Linked DNA regions of Pelodiscus sinensis. The protein of the gene in region 1 interacts with the protein of each later gene in a pairwise test. Links are inferred from orthologs where the notes say so. Each region holds a gene or a part of one and is shown on either strand. Other genes may lie near its edges. The genes, in order: CCNH and DUSP12.

Region 1 (11,074 bases):
TAAGCAACTAGTTGAGTAGTCGACTACTCTCTTGCTGCTGTATCAGAGGCAGCAAAGGTGGGGGAGTGAGAAGTCAAGTAGTGACTCAACTACCAATAAGCCTAAACTCTTAAGCCTAGACTCGACTACCCAATAAGGTAGGAGGCTCTTACTAAATTTAAAAAGCAGAGCCACAGCAGTCTGCAGTCCCAGCTTGAGTCAGGTCCCCTGCTGCGGCTCTGCCTTTTAAATACAGTAAGAGCCAGGCAGCTTTTTCTACATTTAAGAGGCAGAATTGCAGCAGTCCTGGAGCTGGCGTGAGTCGGGATTGCTCTGTCCCAGCTTATTCCACTCGTGGGAGCTAACCCTCTTATCGACTAATCCAGTAGTCAATGGAAATTCCATCGACTACTTGATTAGCTTATTAACTGCTACTTAACATCCCTATTTTGTGACAACATGCTTTTTTTACTTTGGGACAATATTCTCTTTTAATGATTGACTGGCTATTTATACCCACAATTCCTACGACTATGTATCCTATCACAGTCATTCCATGAATAAATTAGGCAAACAAATGTGCACCTATTTTGGAATCTATGGTTTTGAAAAAAAGAGAATATTTTGTTATAGCAAATGATTTTCAATGAAGAAATAATGCTTTTTGGTACGGAGAAGTAACAGTTTCAGTGCATGGCTACTGAACACTGTTCTCCATTTGGTTTGGAAAGAGTAGACACTAACCATATTTCAGGTTATCAGAAACCGCCTTAAGCCCTCACCTTGAAAACATTTACATACATGCTTAACCATAAGCCCTCAATTATCCTACTGATTTCAAGCATTTGTATGCTTGCAAAATATTAAGCACATATATACACATTTACAGGATTGGAACCTGGTTATTAAAAGTGAAATTTACTCAAAAGTGCAGAAGGCCCACACAATAGTCTTCTCACATATTAACCATCACTCACACAACTCAATAAATTTTTGGATAGAAGAGGTGGGTAAGGGATGTATTTGAATCTGAATGCTCACTAGGTAGCTTCTTGAATGCCTCGGTTGAGATGCATCAATCAGATGAGTATTATTGTTCTACAAAGGTTTAGCACATGCTTACTGAAAACTTTGGTCAGTTTGAAATGAGCTTTCACAGACTGGGAAAGCCTTCCAGCTTGGCCCCAGTCCTTACCCCCACTAGGTCTTAGACGTGTCCAGCAGTTATCTTTGATAGGATAGCCAAAGAGAATGGATAACTAAGATTACCTCACTCCCCGCCCCCCCCCCCCCCAAACAGATTTTGCAAAAGGCAGGAAGCCTTTGTTTTCAGTCTAACTTTTCTCTCTATTTTGTGGAAAAATACAGTATTCAAGATGGGTCCCAACATCAGGTGATGTAGTCACATGTCTTGGGTGGATTTCCCTCCCGCCCACATATACCCTCCTCCCAGGCTTAAAGGAAAAACAAGTCTATTCACAGATCATTGTCCTGAGTATAGGGTCATTAAGTATTACTAATGGCCCTCGCTTAGCATGACTACATTAATAACACAGGATTATACTTCATATTTTTAACTTCAAATAAATAAATGATACATACTTACCTAATTATATCCAGCATATTACAAGTTTTCCAGTAATATCTCACATGAAGTATCTCACATAAAGCAGGTATATCATATTCATAAGCATAGTCCCATAAAACATGGAATGCCCCAACGTATTTTCCTTAGAATGTGCATTTATTAATATAGTGCCAGCTATCTCCAAACTCCCCAAATACAACCCTCTTTTTAGGCTTTAGAGTCCAAGCTGCAACTTTAAAATGCTGATACACAACTATTTTTAGGGCACTACCATGAACCTCTCTAACCTCAGTGTGTTAACCTGGATTGGGATGCTCATTTTTGCAGGCTCCAAAATACAGTAAACTTCCGATAACCCGGCACCTTTAGGATCCAGGGGGTGCCGGATTATCAGATTTGCTGGACTATCGGAAGGGGGGGCTATGAGGGGTCTGGGGTGGGAGGGGGGGATGCCTCCGGCTTCCTGGAGTCTGCCGCTGGTCAGTTTCAACAGCGGCTGAATCCAGATGCCTGGGACAGAGCAGCTGGGGCACTGCCGGGTTGGTCTGCTAGCGCCAACCCTTGGTGCTGTGGGACCAACCCGGCAGCACCCCAGCTGCTCTGTCCCAGGTGTCCCCAAGTCAGCTGCTGCTGAAACTGATCAGGGGCTGATTCCAGGAAGCCCGGGACAGAGCAGCTTTGCCTCGGGCTTCCTGGAGTCAGCCGCTGATCAGTTTCAGCAGCGGCTGAATCGGGGACAGCTGGGGGCAGTGCTATGGGACCAACCCGGCAGTGCCCCAGCTGCTCTGCCCCGGCTTCCCCGATTCATCCACTGGTCAGTTTTAGCAGCGGCTGAATCGGGGAAGCTGGGGGCAGAGCAGCTCCAATGGTCCAGCTGCCCGGAGCACTTCTGGGTTCCTGATGGTGCCGGACCATCAGGAGTGCCGGACCATCAGATGCCAGACCATCGGAGTTTTACTGTAGTGTGTAGATATATCCTTAAAAGACTCAGTTTACCCTGTGACTCAGATTTATAGAGGATTTCTATAACTTTATTCCATGAAATTAAAAAAAAAAAAAACAAATCACTTCACAAACTATTTTTCAAAAATCATGCTCTGATAATGTGTCATCTGCCAAAAAGAAAACATTAATGTTCCATCAGTAACAAGTAAATATTAAAACACAATTTGCTTATTAAAAAGTCTATTTTGCCTTTCTCTCCTGTTTTTTTTTTTCCTGCTCTTCTTCCATTTGCTTTCTCTTGTCCAGATTCTATTTCTTTACTTACACAGAATAGAACTTCACTCTATGAGAAGTGCCTTTGAACTACTCATGGAGTACAGTTGCTATCCAATATGAGTAAGGATATTAGAATCTGGCTCTTCTGGTTTACAGCATTTTCTTTTTTTAGTCTATTCTCTTTCTCACATCTCTTATTTTCTTTAACTCTCTTTCAAAAGTTAATATTTTAAATAGACTAGATTTGTGTCAGTTTCCCATATGAGTTCTGTCATCTTTTTCTCTTTAGGTGACAACTGGTACCTACATTACTCCTGGGGGATTCTGCACCAAAAAATTAAAAATTCTGTGCACGATATTTTACAAAATTCTCCAAAAGGTATTTGTCAACTTATCACTATATAATTGTCAAGTATGGGTTCTCTTGGCCAGGCCTCAGCTATAGCCAGATCTACCTCAGCAACCTCACCACCTCACATGGATAGCAACAAGGCTTATCTACCAATAAAATGGAGCTTGTCAGAGTCCAGCACTCAACACCATATATGGGCCTCACACCACACCCAAACTGCTCCCATGCCACTCCCTGAGCACAAACACCACCAAATATGGTAATAGGCAAGAACATAAAAACCTCTCTGCCCTTAGCTCTGGGAGGACTCCGGGATATTGGAAGACAGAATCTGAGTCTGGCTTAGGACTGATCACCCAAAGGCCGCCTCCCACCCACCGATCTAAAAAGTCTAAAAAGGGGTGTACAATCTCGAGCATGCTCCGTTTCCTTGTGTGTCTTTGTGTTGTTGTTGCTGAGTTTGTAAGTATTTAATTTACCCCCACTGTTGTTAAGTTGTTTAAAAGAGCCAGGTTAGAAAAAATATTGCTCTGTGGTAACTTTTACCCTTGCTATTGTCAGTGTTAAAGAAACCCTTGCTATTGTCAGTGTTAAAGAAACAGTTTTTTTAAGTGTGTATATATTTGACTTAGCTGTAACTTAGGTAGGGCTTAAAAGTTGTTGTATGGTAAATATTAGGTAGTTGTTCATTATATTAGGTAAATGTTAAGTAAATATTAGGAAGTTGTTCAGCTTAATAAATCACTCCTTCTTTAGTAAAACTTGTTGTTTTGCCATCATTCTGTATTTTCACTGGGTATTTGGCCTTAAGCCTCTGGGACTCCTGCCATTTTATCGAACCAAGAACCAACAATAATCATGCCAGTTTCATATATTTTGGTAACTTATTTCAAAATACCTGTCAGCAAGTATGTCTATAAAACGGGGGTGGACAATAAAAAAACAGCAGGCCGCGGGGTTAGTCCCTACCGGGTCACCGCCTCCATGTTTACCTATGCTTCCGCAGGTATCAGAGGATCATAGCGCTGGTTGGCTGTGAATCGCTGTTTGCAGCCAATGTGATCCTACGATACCGGCAGTGGCACAGGTAAACATGGAGGTGAGGGATTAAACGCCAGAAACTACCCCTAAAGACTGGATCCGAACCACAGGCTGGAATTTGCCCACCCTGCAATAACTATACAGATATACACATACAAACTCCCTTAAGAGTAGTGTAGAAGCTGTAGAAACCATTTTCATGTTTAGCTAGAAGCCATCTTGTATATCAGAAACCATTTCAGCTTTTCTCTCAAGCACGTAGACCAGAGTGAACTTTCTGTCACCCCGTGAGAAGAGGCCTACAGGATGGGCTATTGGTATGTGTTAATTAGGCTGGTTGGGACAGGAGATGTACTCCCTCGCACCTGTCCGCCATCTTGTTGATAAGGTTTGGTTTTTCCAAATTTAATTGAGGATTTCTGTAATTGGATGCCCTGACGTCAGACTGTTTGGCTAAGGGTATAAAGATATTAGAATTGATTGTATTAGCAGCCTTACTGGGTCTGGCTCTGCTGTGACCACGTTTGGCTCATGCTGTGCTTTATTAATTAATAAAGCTGTTTGTTAGCTGTCTAAACACAGAGGAGCGTGTTTTTGCTTCTACAGTAGATAGTTAAAGAAACCCCTATGACAACCCAGTTCCTGTTTCTCTTCCCTCTTCCCCCTATAGTTCAGCTTGTGATGAGAGATTTTGGCTCAATTGCCCAGAATGTCTTACAACACTTTAAATAGAAATCTGCAGGAACAACCTCACAAAGAGTTGAAATTCACCAGAATTATTATTGGCTTAATTGAACATGAGTGGTGATAATAACATGACCCTTTGGAATACTTAGGACAGTAATCAGTTTTAGGAATAAATCTTTAATTAAATACAAATGGAGAATAGCTTAAATTAGAAAATACAATAATGGTGGCTATAGCTAGGTTATGTAATGGAGTGGGGAATCCATAGGAATACATAGGAGCATGGGTCAGCAATGAGTCCATACACAAATATTAGGGATTGAAATTAAGTCTGTGGTAATTTTTCATAAAAATTCATATTCCAAGCTCTGTTGAAAAAAGTACATGGTTTATCTATGTACATCTTACATGTACTACTATAGTCTATGTGCAAATGGGCCGAGCCTTCAAATTCATCTAGGAGGCCAAAGTCACTGACCTACTTTCTTACCCGGGATGCCAAAGATGCACAGAATGACCTTTATCAGAGGGGTAGCCATGTTATTCTGAATCTGCAAAAGCGGCGAGGAGTCCTGTGGCACCTTATAGACTAACCGAAGTGTAGGAGCATAAGCTTTCGTGGGCAAAGACCCACTTAGTCAGATGCATGTCGTGGAAATTTCCAGAGGCAGGTATAAATATGCAGGCCAGAATCAGGCTGGAGATGAGGAGGTGGATCCAATCAAGGAGGATGAGGCCCACTTCTAGTAGCTGATCTGGAGGTGTGAATTCTTGGAATTCACTAGAAGTGGGCCTCATCCTCCTTGATTGGATCCACCTCCTCATCTCCAGCCTGATTCTGGCCTGCATATTTATACCTGCCTCTGGAAATTTCCACAACATGCATCTGACTAAGTGGGTCTTTGCCCACGAAAGCTTATGCTCCTACACTTCGGTTAGTCTATAAGGTGCCACAGGACTCTGCGCTGCTTTTGCAGAATGACCTTTGCCTTGCTTACAGGTTAGCCAGTTACAGTGGAGTGGGCCTTTGTTTCAAAGAAATTGCTGAAAAATACCCCAAATCTGCTCCTTTTTAAAGACCGCACGGTGGTACCAGGACTGCAACAAGAAACGCCAAGGACTGAGGTGCTAACTTGTGGCCAGAGTCAGTATTGACCATTGCTTTGTCTCCAGCTCTGAGCGCAAGTCCGGAGTTTTAACGTGCTCGACCTTTACCCAGCCTGCAGCGCTAGAGACTATAACTCCCAGCATGCACTGCTCGCTTACTACCCGCTTGCAGACGCCACTTGCCTCTGGGTAGAGCGCGGAACGCCGGTTAAGTCTGTCGCTGCCCATCCTGGGAATTGTAGTTTACTCGGGGCTGCACTACGGAGCTTGGTTGGGAGAAGCCGAGGCGCGCTGCACGCTGGGATCCGTAGTACACATGGGGCCCCGAGGCATGCTGGGATATGTCGGAGCTAGTTTACGCAGTGGGGTGTGAGGCTGGGCTTGAAAGCGCTCTAGTGCGTTGGTGGCGTGCGCTCGCGGGGCTGTGTGCGCTCGCGCGATCCAGGTGCCCGTTGAGGAGCGGTCGGTTGGCCGGGATGTACCACAGCAGCACGCAGAGGCGGCACTGGACCTTCCGCAGCGAGGAGGAGCTGGTCCGCTGCCGGGCCGACGCCAACCGCAAGTTCCGCTGCAAAGCGGTGGCCAACGGAAAGGTACCGATCGGCCCCGCTCGGACAGAGCCCAGGCTCGGGACTGGGGCGGCGGCGGCGGCGGCGTGTGGAGGAAGGGTCAGTCCCGGGGACCTCCTAGCTGGAGCCGGGCGCGGGGGATCCCCGCGGCGGCAGCTGTCAGCGTGTCACGAGTACTCGGCGCGGCTGCCGCTGGCTGCGAAGGGAGGGGCAGCGGCAGCAGAGCTGCGCCGGGCAGCGGGTAGGGGCGAGCCCCGGCGTTTCGGCGGGGCCCGAAGCAGCTGCCGAGCCCGCCCGGGTGACGTTGCCCGTGTCCTCAGGTTCGGCAGAACGACTCGCTGCTGCTGGAGACCCGGGAGGAGCTGACAATCTGCAAATACTATGAGAAGAAACTGCTGGATTTCTGCTCCGTGTTCAAACCTGCCATGCCCAGATCCGTGGTGGTGAGTTGGGTACCGAAAGGACGCGGCCTTTCCTTTGCAGACTGCCCCTGGCCTGAGACACCCAGACGTCCAGCACCCTCAGTAGCTTCTCGCAAGCCATGACTCTGGGGGCACTCGTCGCATCTTCTGAGCATTGGGTTTGTGGGGAATGAAAGGACTTGAGCCTTGCTGTCACCAAAAGAGCTCGGGGGAGAGGGGCTTGATATTTCCATCATTGGCTTTTTTTAGGTTTGTGCCTTTGTTTTAACTGTGGGTGGTTTCTTGTTGAGATTATTGGGTACTGCTACCAGAAACGCTAGTCCAGAATCAATGCAAGTGTGTGTGTTTTCTGATTAATGGGAGTTGGATCAGGCCAGTAGAGTTTGTGGCAAGTCTTTCAAATACTCTTGCTCAGGCTGACTCCCTTCCAGAGCAAAAGTGTAGAGGAGGAAAATTTACAACTGACTGAATCAGTTTTAGTGACTCTTGCTCTTGTGCTGTGTGTTCCTGTAGTCTGTGCATTTGCATGGCTGCTCAAGATAGATTCAGATGCTGTCTGGCTGTTCATCAGAGTGCCCACAGCTAGGTTTTTGTTTATATTGGTGGTGTACATTTTCACATGCAGTAGAAAGATTTATTCAACACATGGATGGAAAAGATTAGAGGGATCCTTGCTCTTATGTGCCAGATTATTGCATGTAAAATTGACAAAGTAAATTGATGAAAGAAATTCAGATTTAAGTTTTTTTTCTTTTGGATTCTGTGCTTGACAGACTTTATTATATTGCATTCTGTGCTACGTGTGACGAAGGTTAACCCTGTTGGTTTTGTTCTAGAAACTTACATATGTTGTGTTTTTAAAACAAAAACAAAAAAACAAACAAACTTCTCTCCAAGATAGGGATGTAATAGTATAGCTGATTAACCGATAAGCAAAAGCTTATAGGTTAACGTTATAGACTACATGCATTTCCCTCTCCCTGCCAGTAAATTTTTTAGCAGGTTGGCTAGCAGCCTGTCTCACAGTCCTGGCTTGTGATAGGTCCAAGACCTACCCCTACTGCAGCTCTGCATTTAAAATGTATTAGGAGCTGGATGGTCAGGCAGCCCAGCTCAGTCCTGTCTCACACCGGGTCAAGGAGCTCAGACACTTTTCCCCCCTGCTTCCCCTCCCCGAGACAGGGACTGCTGCCACCCTGTAGTGCTGCTTCTTCCTTAAAAGCAGCAGCGCAAGGTGACAGGCAAGCCAGGTAGCAAGGGCAGCTGGTTTTTAAACTAGCTCCCCTTGCAGACCAGCTTACACCTCTCACCCCGTGCTGCTGCCTCTAATACAGTGGCTGCTGGCCCTGCCCCCCCCCCCCGGGACTATAGACTAGTCGACTAACCGATAAAATGTCATGAGGTTACTCGACTGTTCAATTAACTGATATTTAACATCCTTAATCCAAGGCGTTACTTCTCAAACTATAGTCTGAAGTTTTTCATGTTTCAAAATATTTCATCTACAAATCTAACCAATGGAGAGGGGATTTGAGGTGTTAAGGAAAAAGAGCTCATGGAAAAAATTTTAGGTTTAAAATGGATTCAGTGGTACAAAAGGTACTTTTTCATTTAGAATTAGTGACCTGTTTTCTAGAATAGGTGGGTGGACAACAGTCAAACTTGGAGAAATCTGAATTTCTTACAAATTAACATTTTAGCTAAACATCCAACAAAAAACTCAATAGAAATAGAAACATGACAGAGTAACTGGGGGTGGTTACTGGACTGCATGTCAGTGTGTCTTTTCAAGATGCTGATGTGTAATGGATAGAGGGGAATGATGGCACAATGGTTAAGGCCCCCTTCAGTCTAGAGTTGGGTGTGTATGCTTCTTTGAGTTTGGGTTTAGCTCCTGCCCTTTGTGTCAGTATTTCTGCTGAGTAGCTTAAGTGGCTCACTACTCAGCTTGACTTACAAGGATCCCTTTAAGTGCTTAACTCTTTTGCATTCTATGGGAAGCTAAAGCGCCTTATTCAGGGCTGAGGGGTCTACTGTCCAGCAGATAACTTAAGAGTTAAATATTGCAGTAACCTCAGGATCTAGCCCTCCGTTTCTCTGCACCTCACTTCCCTGTGTGTACTTATACACCCTACTTATTTTTGTGTGGGCAGAGTGCAAGGTATAACAATACTTAATTATCTTGCAGGGTTATTGAGGATAAAATATGCTGAAGGTGGCTAGGTGCTGATTTTATGGTGGGAGCCAATAAATACCTTAGAGAAGGTTCTTAGAGAAGGTTGAAATCTGACTAGTGGATTAAAAAGTGTATATTCTCTGCATTGAACATTATCTATTTGCTGTTTGTGCTATCATGCCCAATTGGAACTTACTGACTCCTTGTATTTAGGGAACGGCTACTATGTATTTCAAACGTTTTTACCTGAATAACTCAGTGATGGAGTATCACCCTCGAATAATAATGTGAGTAATTGAGACAGTTTGAATTTTTTGTAATGTTTGTCAATATTGTCATTAGAGACGTGTTAGTACAGGGATGGCCAACCCGTGGCTCGTGAGCTGCATGCGGCTCGTGAGCTGCATACAGCTCTTCAAATTAAAAATTGTGGTTCGCGGCTCTGAAAGGGGCAGTGTGTTTCTGTCTGAAAGAGACAGAGCTGGAGTCATGCATCCCATGCAAACTTCAAAATGGCCACCTTAAAAGAGCAATGACTGCTCTCCTCTTAAAAGGGCGTTGGTGTGGGGCTTTTTTTTTTTTCTTTCTCTCCTCAATAACGTTTTTATAACAACTCTGCTCTTTGTGCTGTATCCACTACTATTTTGGCTCTTTGTCTGTAATGGGTTGGCCACCCCTGTGTTAGTATAACCATTTTAAAAATAAAAACCTGATGGGCCTGGGCCCATTGGTTAACCTTCACAGTTAAATGAAAGGCCCCACCCTGCACTGCTGCCACTGTATCAGAGGTAGCACTGTGGAGTGAGAGATGGGAGGCAGCAGCTGATACAGAGGCAGCAGCATAAATGGCATGGTGTGAGGGGCTGGAGGGGGACGTGGCTCTGCAGGAGCCGGTGTTCACAGGAGTTGGCTTAAAATTTGGTTCTCCATGCCTACTGGCTTCCGCGGAGATGCCCCCACATGGAAATGTGTAACCACTAAGGATGTTAAGTATCAGGTAATTGACTATTCGAATAGTTGATGCATTTTGCATCAACTGTTTGATTAGTTGTTAGGACACCTCTGCCTTTGAAGTACAGCAACAGCACTAGGGTTGTTGCTACATTTCAAAGGCGAAAGTGCTGTGTGGAGCCCAGGGTCAGCTGGGGACTCTCCCGCTGACCCTGGGCTCTGTGTGGCGCTGCTACTTTGAAATGCTGTAGTGGCGTTTCAAAGTGGCAGTGTCACATGGAACCCGGGGGGTCAGCAGCGGGGTGGGAGGGGGGTGGGGGGGATCGGGAGTCCCTAGCTGATGCCAGGCTCCACGTGGTGCTGCTGTTTTAAAATGCCGCATGCAGCCTAGGGACACCCAAGCTAGCCCCTGGCTACACGTGGCTTTTCAAAGCAGCAGTGCTGTGTGGAGCCCAGGGTCTGGCCCCAGGCTTCAAGTGATACTGCTGCTTTGAAGTACCCCCTCTTCTTCCCCACCCTTGCTGCCTCTATCTGATGGAGGCAGCACTTGGGGGGAAGTGACTAGTCAACTACCCAATAAGCATTTGCTTATCGATAGTTGACCAGTCTATCACTTCCCTAGTAACCACTGAAAAAATGTTCCTCCCCCCACTTTTTAACATCCCTAATTGTCATATTAGGTAACTAATAAAAGTTTGAGGATACTAAAATTCAGTATTCTTACCATTTTATATAAAGCAAGAAGCTGAATAATGAATTTTCATAGTGATCCATTTGGAAATAGGTCAGGGAGGATGGGCAATAATTTTTACAGTGGGGACATTTCACAAATTTCTGAAGTGGCCCTGCGCTGCTGCAGAAGGGGTGGGGCCAGGACACTTCCTGTACTCCCTCACCCACAGACCGTGATTGTCCTGAGGGTGGGAGAACACGTGAAGTCTTTGCCTCCCCACCTGCCAGTGCCTAGAGAGAACCACCAGC
Region 2 (11,137 bases), on another chromosome or scaffold:
TTATACTAGGAAGACCTGTGGCTGCAGCTTTGGGTCCATTCACGCTGAAAATAGTCATTTATGTAACAATTGAGAAGCACTGGCTACAAGTAGCACAGTTCCAATTCTGTCTGCACAGCAACTTATAAGTCATCACAACTGGATATGGGGGTCCATGCTCACCATGTTGCCATCAGAGATGGTGTGATGCCATTCTAGGGCCACCAGGGCAGCTCCCCTATAGTGCCTTAGTTACTGTCGCTAATTACTCAGGGATTTGGATGTTCTTCAAGACATTTTCCCCAACCCACCCAAGATTTTGTGATTTCTTATGGAAATCCCATAATCCGTTGCCCACTCATAGAAATGTGGCTGATAATCTATCTTGCTGTGCTCTCTGGCTTTAGGGATTTCTGCTTTGACAGCCTGGATGGGAGAAGGGAATAAATGTTCAGAAAATCCAAGGCCATGTCCAGACTCAGGGGTTTTTTCGGGAAAAGTAGCCTTTTCCCGAAAAAACTTCCCCTGCGTCCAGACTCAAGCCGCGTTCTTTCGAAATTATTTCGAAAGAACGCGGCTTTTCTTTCGATGGCGGTAAACCTCGTTTCACGAGGAAGAACGCCTTCCTTCGAAAGTTCCTCTTTCGAAAGAAGGCGTTCTTCAATGTAAAGAGGCCGTCTTCGAAAGAGAGCATCCAGACTCGCTGGGTGCTCTCTTTCGAAAAAGCGGATTTCTCTTTCGAAAGATCCGCCTGCAGTCTAGACGCGATCTTTTGAAAGAGGCTCTTTCGAAAGATGCTTTCGAAAGAAGCCTGCAGTCTAGACATAGCCCAAGAGCCCTCTAAGGTGAATACTGAAAGGAAAGCTGCAGCATATTAAGGCATTGATCTTTATAACTAACTAAAGTGACCTGCAACAAGGCAGGCAAACTCTGAGCCAGGGCCAACTCACTAGTGAGCTATGACAGTGAATATGTTAGAGCGACAAGGTGGGTGAGGTAACATCTTTTATTGGAGACAGAGACAGAAGTTGGTCCAATAAAAGATATTACCTGACCCAGTTTGTTTCTCTAATGTCCTCGAATTGACACGGCTACAACAACACTGAATACAACAGTGACTGAGGCTATGTCTACACTACAATGATCTATCGGAAAAAGGTATGCAAACTGTGAAGCGCAATTTGTGTACCTTTTTCCAATAGTTTTTTCAGCCAAATTTTGGAAAAGCCTCTTCTTTCAGAAGAGCCCTTCTTCCTTGTGGGAGGAGGAAGACAGGGCTTCCAAAAGAGAGCATCTGCTCTTCCGCAAAAAAAAGTGGAAGAGCAGATGCGTTCCCTGGACATGGAAGAGTTTTTCCAGGTATCCCAGAAAACCTCCGTAGTGCAGACATAACCTAAGATGTCTGTTTCATGTAAAGACTAGAGAGCTTTGTTGGGAACTGCCAACAACTTTACTTGTTAACTTATTTTAAAGGTGAGGCACAATGTATTTGTCAGCATCTGTTCTGGGCTCCCAGAAAAGTTTTTTGCTGCAGATGCCTTTCTAAGAATAAGGGATAATGTGAAAGACATTTCAAAGGAACCCTGAAGTGGTATTTTTAAAATAGGAGTCTTTTCTTGATTTATTTGATTTGTCGCTATGCAGATCTATTTTAACTTGATTCAGTTCCAACCAACCCAATTCTTAGATCCTATGCAGCAAGTGGCTGAATTTCCTTTTCAGAATAAGACAAGCTCAAGCCTGCCCCCTGCTGACACTTTTTGCTATTTGCATACTATTCCCGGGAAAGGAAATACCAAGTATTCTTAATTTTTGAGACCTTCAGAACATAGGCTATGTTTACACTACAGAGACATCGAAGCTGCCACTGTTAATCTTCCAGGGTTCAAATTAGTGGGTCTAGCTAAAACAGCTAATTTGAACTGAGAGAGGCACTCTGGTTGATGCCAATAGACCTGCTTCCACAAGGAGTAAGGGAAGTTGAAGGGAGAACATTCTCCCTACGACTTCCTGCAGTGTGGACAGCACCAAAAGTCGAGTTAAGGTACTTCAACTTCAGCTATGCAATTAATGTACTTGAAGTTGTGTATCTTAATTTGACCTTAATGTCACCTAGTGTAGACATACCCCTAGTTACTGACTTCTGAGCACAGTGGAAGAAGAAACAAAAAAAGGATCTGTTGTTCCTAAAGCCAGTCTCAGGTGATAGAATACCCCATTTCCAGGCTACAGGTGAGGCTGATATAAGAATCCATGTACTGTTGCTTTGAAACAGTAGGAAGCCAGGCAGGAAGGAAATGGGGAAGGTAGGCAGATGCTCTGCATTGAAGAGTAGACAATGAAATATTAGGGACAAAACTGTTTTCCTTATGCAACCCAAAGGTACTGAATGACTCTGGGTTACTCTTACTATAAAACCAAATTCCCTTTTTAGTGCTGCAAGAAAACAACTTTCAGGAATTTGTTGCTATTGACACAAGAGAGCTTCTATCCTGCCCTTGGGACTCACATAGAATATGTAGCTACTGGCAGCTCCAAGAGTGGAAAGAGCCATAATCCTTCAGCTATGTAGAGGGTAGTCATGGCCACCACATGATCCCTCATACAGATCAGGCTGACTCAGTTCTGGATTCTTGAGTCTTTTTCCTGTAGTCTCAGACCTCACAAAGTCCTCCTTTCAAAGCTCTGTCCCTGCTCACCCAGCTCAATCCTACCCCATGCAACTTTATAGCATCACTGTATGTGATACAGTGAAATGTTTCTATGTGGGACACTGATGTAGCTCAGTTGTGGGGTGTGATTTTACTACAAATTTGTGTCTATCATATTGTGTATGTATATTGGGGTGGGAAAAATTCAACTTATGGGCTGAGTTCGGCTTGCCAAATTGCTGGATCAGCTCGCCACCATCCCATAGCTCAGCAGGAGCCTCAGGCAGCTTCCCTGCCTGCCAGACCCCCACACTCCACTCAAAGCGGCCAGCTGAAGGGGGCCATGTGCACCTCTGCATGTCACGCACTCAGGGGGAGAGCTTTGCATGCTTCCCTTGCCCCCAGCACAATCTCTCCTCTCCCACTGACTGGAAAACAACCAATGGGAGCTGCCTGGGCATGGGTAACGGGTATAATAGCTGGGGCAGGCAATGCCTTCCCAAATGGCCAGGCATGGCCCTGCCCACACTGCACCCCCAGAACACCTACTGTTTCTTGTACTGAAGCAGTAGGAATTCTGGGGGAGGAATGTTGATGCCCCCAAGCTTCAGCCTGTGCTCCGAAGCGGGGATTGCTTAAGCCACGCACCACCTGCCCTCCCTGTGATGCTTTGGGGCCAGAGAGGCTTGGGCCCTCCCTCCCTGTGGTGCTCCAACGCCAGGGCAGCTCAGGCTGCACCACCACCTGCTTTCTCCATGCTCCAGGACTAGGGAGGGTCAGGCTGTGCACCGCTTGTCTTCCCCATGGTGCTCGGAAGCTGGGGAGGCTCTCGTGGGACATGGGGGCTGAAGGTTTGCCCCTGTGGTGGGGGGAGCTTGGCTCCCATGTGGGGCCTCACGTGGAGAGGGTGAGGTTGGGAGCTTACCTCCCTCAGCCCTACATTCACCTTCTGCCCATAGCCTGGCCTGTGCTTGCAGTACATAGGGTTACAAGATGGCTTCAAAAAATACCGGACACACTTGTTCTCAGATGCGGGGGACCAGCCGGGAGGGGAGGGGGGCTGGCTGGGGGAAATGGGCGGGGGAGAGAACTGGCCAGCGAGAAGCAGGGATGGCCGGGAGAAGGTCGGGGGGAGCGGGGCTGGCCGGGGAAGATGGGGGGGGGGGGGAGAACCAACCAGATGGAAGCAGGGCTGGCCGGGAGGAGGCCGGGGGGAGTGGGGCTGGCCGGGAAGGAACCGGCCACCGGGAAGCAGGGCTGGCCGGGAGGGGATCGGGGGGAGCAGGGCTGGCCAGTGGGGAGCGGGGCAGGCCTCAGCCCAGCCCGGGCACATGCAGATCCCAGGGTGCTGCACATCCCATCCCGCGCATGGTCCCATAGGAGCATGAGCAAGTCTGGCCCTGGGGATTCCATCCCGCCCCGCCTCTACCCGCCTCCTCTCTACTGTGTAGTTGCGTACTGCCTGGCTGGTGTACACACTCACGCAGTGTGACTCATGCAGTCTACCAGCCAGGTAGTATGCAACTACGTACTGATGCTCATAATAATAAAACTAACCTAATTAGAAAATACCAGACATTTCTGTGTCCGGTATTTTCTCAATTTATTTCCTGGTCAGAAACCTCAAATACCGGACTGTCTGGTTCAAAACCGGACACCTGGCAAACCTAACAGTACAGGTAGTGCATGGAAGGCCATCCCATCAAGGGAGGCATGATGAGTGGCCTGAGCTGCGACAATTGCTGAGTTGCTGGCTGGGAGCCAGCTAAGATAAGCACCTCCTGGTCAGAGCCTGCACCTGGCACTCCACCCCTTCCCACACCCCAACTTTCTGCCCCAGGTGACAACCCCCTCTTACACCCTTGCCCCAGATCACAACTCCTCCCAGGCCCTGCACCCCCTTCTAAATCCCTCTTCCGGGTGAGAATCCTCTCCTGCGCCCATATCCTTTCTCAGACCTTGCACCCACTCCTGGACCCTGCCTCCCCTCCCAGACCCAAATCCCCATACCCGGATCACAATCCACTCCTTCACCCAAGCTCCCTCCTGGACTCATCACCGTGTGCTGCATCCCAATCCCTTCTGCACCCAACCACCACCCCAGACCTCTCATCTCTTCCATTAATGTAATAGAAAAGTGTGGACCTTGATTAATTACCAAATTATTGGAGTGCACCCCCCCAAAAAAATTATTGCCCCCTGTTGATATATATGCAGGTCTCAGTAGTGTATGTGAAAGGTGACCAGGTGTCCCAGTTTTATAGGGAAAGTCCCAATATTGAGGGCTTTACCTTATACAGGTGCCTATTACCATCCATCCCATTCCAATTTTTCACACTTGTTTGGTGGTCACCATATTTACTTGTGTGTTCAGATATGGTGTGTCACAGCTGGGGTGTTTGCGCTTGTGAATATGGTGCGTACATGCACAATTTGGCTGACGGGAGTGTGTTTAAGTGTTTGTGGATGGGGTGGGGGTCAATCACATATGTACAAGTGTGTGTGCGAGCAACACCCAGAGAAGGGAAAAGTGGAAACTGCCTGGGGGAAGAGGTAAGGACATCTCGCCATCAGCAAGGAGCGCCAGCCTGGAAGGTGCATTTTCATCTGTAAAAGTGTGTTGGTCATGCCAGGGGTGTGCAGTGTCAGCCTGAGACACTCTCCCGCCAAAAGCTACTGCCGCTCATGGGGGCGGCTGCTTGTGCCTGCAGGGGAGCAGGTGCAGCGCAGGCCCAGCCAGAGGGGCGAGGGGCGGAGAGGTGACACGTGGCGGAAGGAAGCAGTGGGGGCTGGTGCCAGTGAGCTGAGGGGAACTAGAGCGGAAGCCGCCATCTTGGTGGTGACAATGGGTGGAGCAGGCTGGACGCCGCCATATTGGTAGTGGCGGTAAGGGGGGGGCACAGGCCGGAAGCCGCCATGTTGGCGGGGGGGGGGGGGGAAGGAGGGGGAAGAGAGACAAAGGCCGGAGGCCGCCATGCTGGTGGTGGCGGGGAGGGGACACAGGCCGGAAGCCGCCATGTTGGTGGTGGCGGGGAGGGGACACAGGCCGGAAGCCGCCATGTTGGTGGTGGCAGGAAGAGGACACAGGCAGGAAGCCGCCATGTTGGTGGTGGCAGGAAGAGGACACAGGCAGGAAGCCGCCATGTTGGTGGTGGCAGGAAGAGGACACAGGCCGGAAGCTGCCATGTTGGTGGTGGCGGGGAGGGGACACAGGCCGGAAGCCGCCATGCTGGTGGTGGCGGTGGGGGGGCGGCCGCGCTAGGAGCGTGGCAGCGGGCGCGAGGCCGGATGGTGCCGGTGCTGCCCGGCCTGTTCGTGGGCGGCGCGGCGGCCGGGGTGGGGGCGCTGCGGGCGGCGGGGGTGGGGGCGCTGCTCTCGGTGGACGCGGAGGCGCCGCCCCCGCTGGCGGGGATCCGGGCGCTGCACATCCCCGCGCGGGACGAGCCCGGCGCCGACCTGCTGAGCCACCTGGACTCCTGCGCCGCCTTCCTCAGCGCGGCCCGGGCCGGGGGCGGCGCCGCCTTGGTGCGCTGGTGAGCGCGGGGCGGGGGTGCTGCATTGCGGGGCCTTTCGCTCCTCCATCGGCCGATACGCGCCGCCGCCTCCTCTCCCGCGTAGCGACCGCCCCGCTGCTTCTGCGAGGCGAAGGCGAAGGCGATGCTGGGAGCCGGGGATCAGATGGGGGGGTCCCCTGCTGGTCCCGGCCTCCCCAGACACTGCCGCTTTGAAACGCTGCGGGAGCCTGGAGACACCCCAGCTGGCCCCGGGCTGCATGGAGCCGGGGTCTGGCCCCGGGCTCTGCCGTTTTGAAGTACCTTCTTCTCTCCCTCTCTCCCTCCCCCCCTTCTGGTAGAGCAGTGTTTCCCAATTTTATTTGGCCATAGATCCCTTTTAAACTCGAAAGAATTTTGCGGAACCCCCACTGACTGACTGCGCGAAATCCCTGACTAACTGCGCACACAGCGCTGAGGAGAGACATCATGGTCCCCTATTTCCAGCTAAGCTGGCATTACACAGGGACACTTACCGTGGTGCAAACAAATGAAAATTGTTCTCAATAAAATTAATAAATGCTTAAATATTAAATTTTTTTTTTGGTAAATCATAAAATGTTATTGTAATGGAATTTTCTCGCGAAACCCTTATTTTCACTTTGCGGAGCTCTAGGGTTCCAGGGAACACCATTTGGGAAACCCTGTGTTAGAGGCAGCAATGGGGGGGAGTGACTAGTCAACTAGCCTGTTGACTATCCAATAAGCAAATGTTTATCCGCTAGTTTGACTAGTCCTTCACATCTCAGGCAGCTGAGCCTTGGCATCAGCCTCAAGCACTCCTCTTTTCACCTGCTGGCTTGGCCCACTCCCCTGCCAGTTGGTGCTCATGGCCCAGCTCAGCCATCAGCAGAGCCAGAGCATTAATTTCCCCCCAAGGCAGATGGGTTACAACTTAAGCGAGGCTTGACATGAATTAACTGCCCTGGTGTATTTGCCCTCGTATTGTTCACCAAGTTCTTTGTCTTTCAGCCATGCTGGAGTCAGTCGGAGCATTGCTTTAGTGACGGCCTATTTAATGAAAACCAACAATCTCACCTTCGAAGAGGCTTATGCCAAGATCAAGGCTATCAAACCTGATGCCAAGTGAGTTATTTGTCCTGCTAAGATTCCTGTCTTTTCTCGTGCGGACTAATGTGTACGATCTCCACAGCCTGAGGAACAGGCCTCTGACTTTCCCTGTGGTTCCAGAATGAACGAAGGCTTTGAGTGGCAGCTGAAACTCTATGAAGGAATGGGCTGTAAAGTTGATGTGTCCAGTGCCATTTACAAACAGTATCGCTTACAAAAGGTTACAGAGAAATATTCTGGTGAGTGAAGGTAATGTCTGACAGTGTGTTCAGGGGAGCTAAAGACCTATAGCTAAGAGTGACTGAAGACTAGACTGGCATGATTTTCCGCAAATGCTTTTAACGGAAAAGTTTTCCATTAAAAGCATTTGCGGAAAAGAGTGTCTAGATTGTCACGGACGCTTTTCCACAAAAGCACTTTTTGCAGAAAAGCGTCCGTGCCAAACTAGACATGCTTTTGCGCAAAAAAAGCCCTGATCGCCATTTTCGCGATTGGGGTTTTTTTACACAAAACAAATCTGAGCTGTCTACACTGGCCCTTTTGTGCAAAAGCTTTGTGCAAAAGGACTTTTGCCCGAATGGGAGCAGCATAGTATTTCCACAAGAAGCACTGATTTCAGACAGTAGGAAGTCAGTGTTCTTGCGGAAATTCAAGCGGCCAGTGTAGACAGCTGGCAAGTTTTTCCGCAAAGCAACTGCTTTTGCGGAAAAACTTGCCAGTCTAGACACAGCCAAGGTGTACAAGGATGGTGTATTACCTATCTCCTAGTGCAGGTACCTGATCCATGACTGAATATATTAGCGCTGTCTGAACCAGTCCTTTCGTTACACACTGCTGGTTTTAATCTAGATGAGTTTAGCAATTCTGTTGATTAACATCAGTGTATCTCAGAGCAGCTGCTCAAATACCATGGTGATTTGACCATGTAAAAATCTTGATAGTCAGAGAACTTTGCATGTTTGTATAAAATTTTGTGCACTGGAAGGCATCTGTACACCTGGACAAGATCCAGATGTGCTATTTCTAGATACAAAGTTTCTTGTAATTAGCACAGTGGAATTCCCCTTCTTTGGCATGAAAGGGTGAAGCTCAGCTCTTAGGGCTGGGATGGGCAATTACTGGCCCCTGGGCCAGATCCAGTGTACCAGGATTAGTCTCTGGCATCTCCCCCCCGCCCCATATTTACCTGCCTCTCCGCAGTTTATGCGGGATCATAGTTCCTGTTGGTAGCAGATTGTTGTTCCCAGCCAATAGGAGCTGTAATCACCTGAACCTGTGGAGGTGCAGGTAAATATAGTGGCAGCAACCCACCAGGGGCTAACCCTGGTGAACCACCGCCACTCACCCTGGGGGTCAATTAAGTGTTCAGCATTTCTCCTATCGACCCCATGCAGTAGAGATCTCCCCGCAACTCAACCTATTATTTCAACTGCCGCCACGGTATTCATGTAGCTGGAGTTGTGTAGGTTGATATCACTCCATAGTGTAGAACCACTCTCAGGAACCTCCTAAGAAGGGAGAAGGTGTGGGTAGGAAGTGTGATGGCAAAGCCATAGTGCTTTAATTACAAATCTCTGAATGACTGATTTATATCGCTCCCTCTCTGTAGAGCTGCAAAACTTACCTCAAGAAGTCTTTGCAGTTGACCCAACCAGCGTTTGTCAAACTCTAAACAGTGAGATTCTCTACAGGTGCAGAAAATGCAGGTATGGGGTGTTTCATTTCTCACAAAGTGTTACTTTGAAATGAACTCTTGTAGGGAAAATAGTCTTTTTAGCTTACAAGTTATTGGATTTGTGTCTCAGAACAGAAATACACCCTTAAGACATTTTCAATCAAAAGGATACATGGTACTTTCCTTTGCCTAATCTTTGTTTCATGATCATAAAGTCTTTCAAGCTCTGAAATCCCATAGAACCCATAGGGCTAAGTATATGCTGGCCATGTCCACATTACTGTCTATAAGTAGGCACAACTCCACTTACGTTGTTCCAGTTTACACAAAAATTAAAACTGAATTTACTAAATTGAAACTGCTCAAAATCTCAGCGGGGGATCCATTTAAATCTACATCCACAAAAACAATGAGGAGGCTTGTAGCACGTTTAAAGATCAACAGTTACTTGGGCATAAGCTTTCATGGGCAAAACCCCACTTTGTCAGATGCACCTGACTCTGAGTTTTACCCATGAAAGCTTATGACCAAATAAATCTGTTTATCTTTAAGGTCCTACGGGGTTCCTTGTTGTTTTTGCTCAAAATCTGACACTCCCACCCTCTAAGATTCTTTTAACTCCATAGGTCCATAGCTAATCTTGTTAAATTTGGCCTCTTGATCATAGGAATTTATCCTATTTCCAATTTTCTAGCTGTATATTTCCCAGACATATGTACCTAGATGATCTCGTGTTTCATTAGCTAGGAGTTTGCTAAAAGTAGCTACATAAGCAACAAAATGTAACTATGGGAAAAAGACCCAGGGCTGCATATTAGATATGCTGCGGTTGGGAGGACCCCTTCAAATGAAAAAAGAAAATATAGATTGTATGACTCCAGTCGTTTGCTGGTGCTACTACTGCCTCGTGCTATATTATTGTCCAGGTTCTAGGGATGTAAAATCCTGTTTAATTGATGAACTGCCTGAATGTTATGTTTAACCACCCCACCCATGGGCAGCCCCCCCACCTCAGACAAGGGCTGCTCCAGCCATCTGGACTAGCCTCTGCATCTGGTGGGAAGGCGTTGGGGCTGCCACAGACAGGGGCTGCTCTAGCCAGCTGCCTAGAGCAGTCCCTGCCTGAGGTGGGCCCTGCAGGCCTGGAGCAGCCCCCTGCCTATGGCAGATGATGTAACGGTTCACATCCCTACTGGTTACCTTCAGCTTTTCTCTCTCTTCTCTCATGTTCTGGAGGATAGACGTTCCCTCTTTCGTAACTCGAGCATTTTGGCCCACACTGAAGGAAGTGGACCAGCAGCCTTTGCTCACAAGAGGATTACAGATCCTGCTCAACTTCGTAATGACAGTCAGGTCAAATGTACCTCTTATTTCATTGAGCCGGTACAGTGGATGGAGCCAGTTTTGTTAGGAGTGATGGAAGGACAGGTGAGAGGAACAAGCACTTGACATTGTTACCTATGAAACTCCCTTAAGAGATGTTCTCACTTTTTAAACATTGTTTCTGTGCATCTGACCACACTCCTTAATATTGCCTGGTTTTACTGTTCTTGTGCAAGGTTGCTGTTACAGCTACAGTCCTTTCAGTCTTCACCATCTCTGAAGCTCATTAATAAACTGTAAATGTCATCTTCTCCCACCTAGTACAAGCAGCAGAGCTCCAACTTGGCAACAGTCATCAGGAGCCATTGGCCGATAGAGGGTGATACCCAAAGTAGACTGCTTCAGGTATCCTCCATGACAACAGATGATTAAGTTGTTGGACACCTTTTAATAACTCCACTGAGTAAAATTGTAAAATATGCAGCAGAAGGTGTTTTCAGAGAAACCTTGCAGAATTTCACTCACCATGTGAAAGGTTTCAGATTTTCTTTTGGTAAACTAGGTGGTGGGTTTTTTTTCTTTTTCCCCCCATTATCACCAAAATGAAGGACGGTAAGTAGATTTGATGCCTAGACTGGTGAGCCTTCATGATAGTACTAAGTTAATCCATTTCTTTGCTGCTTTCTCAGCTCTCTTCTGCCCTCTTAAAATCCCAACTTGACATTGAGTGAAATTGTACTGTCCCACATTCTGGACAAAGACGATTACATTATTCTATCTACGAAGTGCTCCTAATCAATTTCACTTAAAACTTTCCCTGTCTTTCAAACTTTCTGTGTACTTTCCCAGGCTGTTTTAATGGATTCGCATTCTTTCCCCATTTGTGT

What was found.
Region 2: the proteins of CCNH (region 1) and DUSP12 interact in binary tests that used the Homo sapiens proteins (3 or more experiments, as listed by UniProt). The two-hybrid records come from large-scale screens. The link is inferred for Pelodiscus sinensis from reciprocal best matches to the Homo sapiens genes CCNH and DUSP12.

Annotation. Positions count from the first base shown.
Region 1 is NC_134716.1:76,316,509-76,327,582, forward strand, and holds the start of CCNH (cyclin-H), read left to right. Parts: upstream 1-6,327; 5' UTR 6,328-6,451; coding exon 6,452-6,568; intron 6,569-6,864; coding exon 6,865-6,987; intron 6,988-9,355; coding exon 9,356-9,429; intron 9,430-11,074. UniProt on the Homo sapiens protein: Regulates CDK7, the catalytic subunit of the CDK-activating kinase (CAK) enzymatic complex. CAK activates the cyclin-associated kinases CDK1, CDK2, CDK4 and CDK6 by threonine phosphorylation.
Region 2 is NC_134711.1:141,149,524-141,160,660, forward strand, and holds the start of DUSP12 (dual specificity protein phosphatase 12), read left to right. Parts: upstream 1-5,869; 5' UTR 5,870-5,918; coding exon 5,919-6,163; intron 6,164-7,153; coding exon 7,154-7,267; intron 7,268-7,372; coding exon 7,373-7,491; intron 7,492-8,861; coding exon 8,862-8,958; intron 8,959-10,163; coding exon of another isoform or gene 10,164-10,168; coding exon 10,169-10,355; intron 10,356-11,137. UniProt on the Homo sapiens protein: Dual specificity phosphatase; can dephosphorylate both phosphotyrosine and phosphoserine or phosphothreonine residues. Can dephosphorylate glucokinase (in vitro).